Linked DNA regions of Oryzias latipes. The protein of the gene in region 1 purifies or fractionates together with the protein of each later gene. This does not show direct contact. Links are inferred from orthologs where the notes say so. Each region holds a gene or a part of one and is shown in the gene's direction. Other genes may lie near its edges.

Evidence for each region.
Region 2: the proteins of mta1 (region 1) and dnmt1 purify together in Homo sapiens (affinity purification with western blotting; 4 studies listed by BioGRID and IntAct, with this or other methods). This does not show direct contact. The link is inferred for Oryzias latipes from reciprocal best matches to the Homo sapiens genes MTA1 and DNMT1.

What each region holds. Positions count from the first base shown.
Region 1 is NC_019880.2:4,663,183-4,666,833, reverse strand, and holds part of mta1 (metastasis-associated protein MTA1), read left to right. Parts: intron 1-595; coding exon 596-695; intron 696-944; coding exon 945-1,133; intron 1,134-1,585; coding exon 1,586-1,660; intron 1,661-1,823; coding exon 1,824-1,882; intron 1,883-3,056; coding exon 3,057-3,193; intron 3,194-3,508; coding exon 3,509-3,651. UniProt on the Homo sapiens protein: Transcriptional coregulator which can act as both a transcriptional corepressor and coactivator. Acts as a component of the histone deacetylase NuRD complex which participates in the remodeling of chromatin.
Region 2 is NC_019866.2:8,451,589-8,455,239, forward strand, and holds the end of dnmt1 (DNA (cytosine-5)-methyltransferase 1), read left to right. Parts: intron 1-35; coding exon 36-228; intron 229-358; coding exon 359-449; intron 450-521; coding exon 522-656; intron 657-852; coding exon 853-1,135; intron 1,136-1,226; coding exon 1,227-1,368; intron 1,369-1,485; coding exon 1,486-1,652; intron 1,653-1,761; coding exon 1,762-1,939; intron 1,940-2,029; coding exon 2,030-2,225; intron 2,226-2,300; coding exon 2,301-2,464; intron 2,465-2,690; coding exon 2,691-2,807; intron 2,808-2,905; coding exon 2,906-2,999; intron 3,000-3,087; coding exon 3,088-3,125; 3' UTR 3,126-3,347; downstream 3,348-3,651. UniProt on the Homo sapiens protein: Methylates CpG residues. Preferentially methylates hemimethylated DNA. Associates with DNA replication sites in S phase maintaining the methylation pattern in the newly synthesized strand, that is essential for epigenetic inheritance.

The sequences.
Region 1 (3,651 bases):
CTGGTGATCCGTTATGTCACGGCGGACGACTGTCTGCTGGCGTTGCTGATGAGACGTACCGGAAAACATGTGGGAGTTTTTTGGTATTTATACGAACAATAAAAAAAGTCTAGTCTGTTGGAAACACTGTCGGTTTAGATTGAGTGTTTTTGCGTCATTTTATTGAGGCTTTGCTGTGTCTTCATTTACTATCTTCTTGTCATCGATCTACTTTTACTGTAGTCGGCAAAAGTTTGAAGAGGAAAATCTGTGGCGAACATTTTCAACATTTGTTGTGAAATGACCCAAATCAACACTGACGTTTGCTTTGTTTGCGACTGGAGTTAACCAGGAAGTTGACAGAAAAATCTTTGAGTGAGACAAAAAGATTTCTTTCAACATCTTTGAGTGTTTATGTTTTGTTGATTCTGATCTCCTTGTCACACATCTAGAACAAAGACATACATAGAACAACCATTCAAACATAAAACAGTAACTAGTTAGAGTTGTGGTTTCATCTGTGAACCGTTGATCTGGGTTTTGGAATCAAATCGGATTTAAGATGTTCTTCCTTCCCGTAGTGACGAACGTGTAACTTGTTATCTTTGTCTTGCAGCTCAGTAGGTACGTTCGCCCGAGCGTTGGACTGCAGCAGCTCGGTGCGGCAGCCGAGCCTCCACATGAGCGCCGCTGCAGCTTCCAGAGACATCACTTTGGTGAGACGAAACTCGAAAGCTGTGATTGTTTTGGGGCTGTACTTCATAGTATACAATCGTGGGCCCTAAAGGACTACTGCTAGTCTGTGCCGGCCTGGATCTAAACCTTAGTTATAAAAGATGGATGAGAAGCCTTTAAGCCCAAAGATGGACTCCAAAATCTGCCAGAAGAGCTGCATTTTTGCATGAATGTTGCTGGAGTTTAGCAGCTTCAACAAGCTGAAGCAGCTTTTTCCCTCTCGTCAATAGTTTCACGCCATGGACACCCTCCATGCCGCCGGCTACGACATGACCCGGGCCATCGCCGCGCTGGTGCCTCAGGGGGGACCCGTCCTCTGCAGGGACGAGATGGAGGAGTGGAGCGCCTCGGAGGCAAATCTGTTTGAGGAGGCGCTGGAGAAATATGGCAAAGACTTCACAGATATTCAGCAAGATTTTGTAAGTGTCAAACATGATGGAATATTAAAGGAAAAAATACAAAATATAGACGTTCTGGTTCAATTCAGCACAAAAAAAAACAGTAGCCATGCTGTCCTCTTTCGCGTTTGAGTACCTGAATAAATGCTCAGGGGACAGCCACGCTGAACTAAGTGGAACATTGTCAATGTGGTTATGTCACATCATGAGGCAGTCTGCCCCCTGGTGGCCAGATCCTGACAGTGCTGTTCATTCTTGGGTCTGTTCAATCCAGAAAAGAAAACCACAGAATGGGTGGGGCGAGTACTGAGGGCAGCAGCTTCCAATCAAACTCCTCCAGCAAAAAAAAAGAGGAAAAAAACCTATAAGAGCACATTTGATGGGTCAAAATGTCCCATTTGGTTACATTTTTAAGATTTAAATAACATTTTATTTTTGTTTGTTTAACTATATTTGTTTCTATCTTCCTGTAGTTGCCCTGGAAATCCCTGACGAGTATAATCGAGTATTACTACATGTGGAAGACCACAGACAGATACGTGCAGCAGGTGACTGTAGTTTCTACTTTGTATTAAAGCTCCTTTGCTGCAGCTGCTGGTCATCCTTTAAAAAATTCACATGTTGATGATCAGACAGTTCTTCTTTTGCACTAAAGCAGAAAAACAAACTAAAATCCTTTTGATTTCTTTTTTTCCCTCCAAACTGTTCCAGAAACGGCTAAAAGCAGCAGAAGCAGAGAGCAAGCTGAAGCAAGTCTACATCCCCAACTAGTGAGTTTGTCGCAATTAAAGGTTTTCTTGTCGGACCTGTTTTATTTCTAATGTTTGAGACGCAGAAATGTTTTTTTTTTTTTAATCATAAAGTAGCAAAGCTTCACAATCTGCTCTAGAGATGCAGCCACTGGAAAAACATGCCATTTCATTTAGAGCAAAATGGAGAAAAAAATGTCAATTTTTAAGGATATTAAATCTTTGGATTTTCCAGCCGAACAAAAGAAACATTTAATTGTGCTTTTTGCAGATACACAACATTAATTATGATTATACGAGCATCTATTCAAGGTTATTTCACACTTTGTGTGGATTTTGATTTTAATTGTATGGTGAAATAAACAGAAATGTACTGGTTGAAAAATATTTTGGGTTCTATAATGAAACCCCTTTTTGGAAACACATGTAGCTCATACTGAAATTTTTTTTTTACCTATTAGTTTCATTGGTTTTTATTAGTACTGGGCCTTTTTATGCCTTTTTTTAACTTAAATTTATTCTTATCATATTTTTTTATTTTACAACAACCCCAGCATCTTTTTTTCCTTCTCTTTATTTTTCATCATATTACACAATAGTTCCACAATCAACTCCAAACAGTAAATGTTGTAATTTTTCAATGCAAAAATCACAAAAATTGACACAAAAAAAACACATAAATCCGCAAAGACGAGGAGAAAACAAAATGGAAAAAAGGAGCAAACAGGCAAAGGCTCACTAAACTCCATACAGTGTTTCTGGGCTATCAGAATTATTATCACAACTGTGTTTTAAAGCAAAGATTTCAAAGCTAAATAGCTTTTTGAAATCTTTACCTTTGGTGGGGGAGGGGGGTCGTTTCTGCAGTATTGTGAAGAGCTGGTGTGATTGAATTCCAATTACAAACCAATGCTAAATGCTAAAAATACTGTTTTTATTTAATTCACACGATTGCATCCGTTTCCCTGTTTTAGTCAGTTTCTTTTCAGTCATCTGTTTATTTTTATTTTCTAATGGTTTTTCTCCTTTTATAGAGTTCTACTATGAAATAAATAGGAAATATCTGCCATTTCTCCTCCTAACGTGTTGGAAAGATCGTTGGTAGCCCATAACATGTTTCCGTTCTCGGTTGAACTTCTCGGATGTGCTCGTCTCTTCTGGTCTGATGTGGTCTCTTGTGCTCGGCTCCCTCCAGCAACAAGCCCAACCCAAACCAGCTGAGTAACAACGTCAAGCCGGCTCTTCTGAACGGAGCGGTGGCTGGAGGCGTCCCGGGACCGCCGGGCTCGGGTCAGATCCCCGGCCTGGGCAGAGCCTGTGAAAGCTGCTACAGTGAGTCACTCCGATCATCAACGGTGCGGCGCTCTGACAAAATGAGATCATCAGCCCTGAAGCGCTCGATTATTTTAACGGTTGTATTTAATTGACTGAAAAATGATTAAAGTTTTCGCTCCTTCATGCAAAAGCATCTGTCGTTTTTCTTCTAGTGTTGTCCGTTTGGCTCTTTTCAGAACCAATTTATCGTTTTTTTACATTTCTTTGAACAAAACCTGATAACTAATGAAAATTCATATCAGTGCTCTGTTGATATTTTAGGATGGAATTGAAGCCTTTCGATGAAATTTCTGTTTATTTGTGTGTTTGTAGCGAGCAGCTCTTACCAGTGGTACTCCTGGGGCCCCCCCAACATGCAGTGCCGCCTGTGCGCCTCATGCTGGACCTACTGGAAGAAGTACGGCGGCCTGAAGATGCCCACGCGGCTGGAGGGCGAGAGGCCTGGACCCAACCGC
Region 2 (3,651 bases), on another chromosome or scaffold:
AACTACTGTTTTTTTTGTTTTTCCTCACCCCCCAGACCAGAAAACACTCACAAAGGTGTTAAAGCGAGTTACCATGCTGACATTAACCAGCTCTACTGGAGTGATGAAGAAGTGACTGTCCGCATGTCTGAAGTTCTGGGCCGCTGTCAAATAGAATATGCAGAAGACCTGATTGAATCGGTCCAAGACTATTCCAGCGGTGGACCAGACCGCTTCTATTTTCTGGAGGTACCGTTAGGATTACTTTTTGTACCATAATTCAAGAACTTGCTGTTCAGCTTCTTTATAGGTGACTGGTTGTATGATTGTGTACGCAGGTGAAAATGGAACCAATGTTTAATGTTTGTTTCCCTCACAGGCCTACAATGCAAGGTCTAAAAGCTTTGAGGATCCTCCAAATCACGCCCGGTCTGCAGTTCATAAAGGAAAAGGAAAGGGCAAAGGAAAAGGTTGGTTTGAACTCTGACATGTAGAAATGAATCACCTCTGAGATCACTGAAACCTGGTCTCTATCCCATCAGGAAAAGGCAAAGGGAAGGCTTCACAGGAACAGCAGGACTCCAACGTTGGCCCACAGATGCCTAAAGTTCCAAAATATCGCACCCTTGATGTTTTCTCTGGCTGTGGGGGCCTGTCCGAGGGTTTCCATCAAGCCGGTAATAAATCCATGTCAGAATGTTTGGGGGTCTGGAATGTCTTTTTTTTTCGTTTTCTGATCAATTATGCAAAAAATTAGCTTTGTATTTAAGTAAGCAGTGAATCTTTTGGAAAATGGAGGACTTCATGTGTGGAATAAAACACACAGTTGTTTATTTTGCAGTGCATTGCTCAGACTCAATCTGCTGCTTTCAGGCATCTCGGAGTCACTGTGGGCCATCGAGATGTGGGAGCCGGCAGCTCAGGCCTTCAGGCTCAACAACCCCGGCACCACAGTCTTCACAGAGGACTGCAACGTCCTGCTGAAGCTGGTCATGTCCGGGGAGAAGACCAATTCTCTGGGTCAGAAGCTGCCGCAGAAGGGAGACGTGGAGATGCTTTGTGGGGGGCCTCCATGTCAAGGCTTCAGTGGAATGAATCGCTTCAACTCTCGCACTTACTCCAAGTTCAAGAACTCGCTTGTGGTTTCCTATCTGAGGTATTTCTTGTCAGGATGTTGTTGCTGTTTTACAGTTGAACTGACTGTTAAAATGATTTTATTTGCCCCCCCCCCCCCCCCCCCCCCCTAGTTACTGTGATTACTACAGACCCAAGTTCTTCTTGCTGGAGAATGTGAGGAACTTTGTTTCCTTCAAGAACTCCATGGTTCTGAAGCTGACTCTGCGCTGCCTTGTGCGGATGGGCTACCAGTGTACCTTTGGTGTTCTTCAGGTGAGACTGACCTTCAGACTGCGGCCTAGACTGTTCCTACGGGTCTTCTGCATGTGTGAAGCTCTTATACTGCACCTAAGCACGAGTCCCTGAGGTGACGTTTGTTCTGCTCCTCAGGCGGGTCAGTATGGCGTTGCCCAAACACGCCGCAGAGCTATCATCCTGGCTGCTGCTCCAGGAGAGAAGCTGCCTCGCTACCCTGAACCGCTGCACGTGTTTGCGCCCAGAGCCTGCTCTCTGAGCGTGGTGGTGGATGAAAAGAGATACGTCAGTAATGTTACCCGGTAAAGAAAACCCTATAAAATAAAACAGTGAAGCTGTCTGCTTCACTGACTTCAGATGAAAGAAAAATATGTCTAACACTTCTGGGATTATTTTTGTTTTTAACATCAGAGGTAACGGGGGCATCTACAGAACCATCACAGTCAGAGACAGCATGTCCGACCTCCCCGAGATTCGCAATGGTGCATCTGCCCTGGAGATTTCCTACAACGGGGAGCCTCAGTCTTGGTTTCAGAGACAGATCAGAGGCACGCAGTATCAGCCCATTCTCAGGGATCATATCTGCAAGGTAAGTTTACCTGATGCTCTTCAAAAATACCTAAATGATGCATAACGTGTGTGTAGATGTACCAAAGAGCATCTGTCTGTCTGTTTGAAGGACATGAGCGCTCTGGTTGAGGGTCGGATGCGTCACATTCCCTTGGCTCCAGGCTCTGATTGGAGAGATCTGCCCAACATTGAGGTTCGCCTCAAAGATGGCACCATGACCAAGAAGCTGCGCTACACCCACACTGACAAGAAGAATGGCCGCAGCAGCACCGGCGCCCTCAGAGGCGTCTGTACTTGTGCCGGAGGTGAGCAGCACTTTTTTCAGGATGTCCTGAAATCATCTCCAGTGTGACTCTGACCCGCTCTGTGTGTCGTTTTAGGGAAGCCTTGTGATCCCGCAGACCGGCAGTTCAACACTCTGATCCCCTGGTGTCTGCCCCACACCGGGAACCGCCACAACCACTGGGCCGGGCTTTATGGCAGACTGGAGTGGGATGGGTTTTTCAGCACGACTGTCACCAACCCCGAACCCATGGGCAAGCAGGTGCAGAGACTTTGCTTTTCTGTATTACTTTAAAAAGAGCAATCATAAGCAGAAGAGTGATGATCAGAGTAATCAAAAATTAGAATATAAAAGTAGTCCATTATTATCAAAGTGTATTTAAGAATATCGGGCTGTGTTGTTAGAAGTTAGAATTTGATCAGCTGACTGGACTCTTCAAGCTGGAGATCAGCATTTAATCTTTTGGTTTTAACTCGTTGATATTCAGGGCCGCGTTCTGCACCCTGAGCAGCACCGAGTGGTCAGTGTCAGGGAATGTGCTCGCTCTCAAGGATTTCCTGACACCTACCGCTTCTTTGGAAACATCCTGGACAAACACAGACAGGTGAAGTCTTTCAGTCATTGGATTGACACCATTTCAAGACGTTTTCTTTCTTTGCTTTGTCATTTACTTTTATTGTTTTTATGTTTTATGTTCTTCAGGTTGGAAATGCCGTTCCACCTCCGCTCTCCAGAGCTATTGGGCTGGAGATTAAGAAGTGTGTCATTGAGAGAATGAAGGAAGAAGAAACAACAGGTGCCTGATTTTGGGTCAATGCTAACTTCTCTGATTTTTCTTTAAAAAAGAGAAATATGAACATGTTTTCTTTATTTTTTGTCTGCAGATGTCATCAAACAAGAAAAGATGGAAGTCTCTGATTAGTTCATTTCCTGTTCAAGCACAATAAGATCTAGAAGTTCTGGGTTTTGGGATTGTTTTATTTTTTACTATTTGCTGTCTGTGAATTGACCACTATGGACATGTAATGTAGTACCCATCCCGTGTTTTAACTGCTTTTAATCATGTTCCTCGATGTTTAATGTGCAACAAATTGTATGTAGTTTTTATATGTTAAAATTCAAATAAAGCTCTTATGAAATTTTATTTTAGACTGAAGTAAATGGATATTTCACTCCGCAACCTGTTATCTATAGCATTAACTCCCATTCATGTATGCAGGTCAAATCCAAAATGTCCTTTTTTAATCTAAGTCCAGATTTAATGTTAATGCTTTGAAACAGACAAGGTTCTAAAGAACTGAAAGTGTCCCTGGATTTTTTCCTGTTTAGAATTGGCTAAAGTTTTTACAAATTTCCCTACTATGCTTTGAAATTTGTTTATTGCAAGCAATTCAGACTAAAAGTATGTAGATTAAGTTTAGTCATTGGAAAATGAAAAATGCACACAT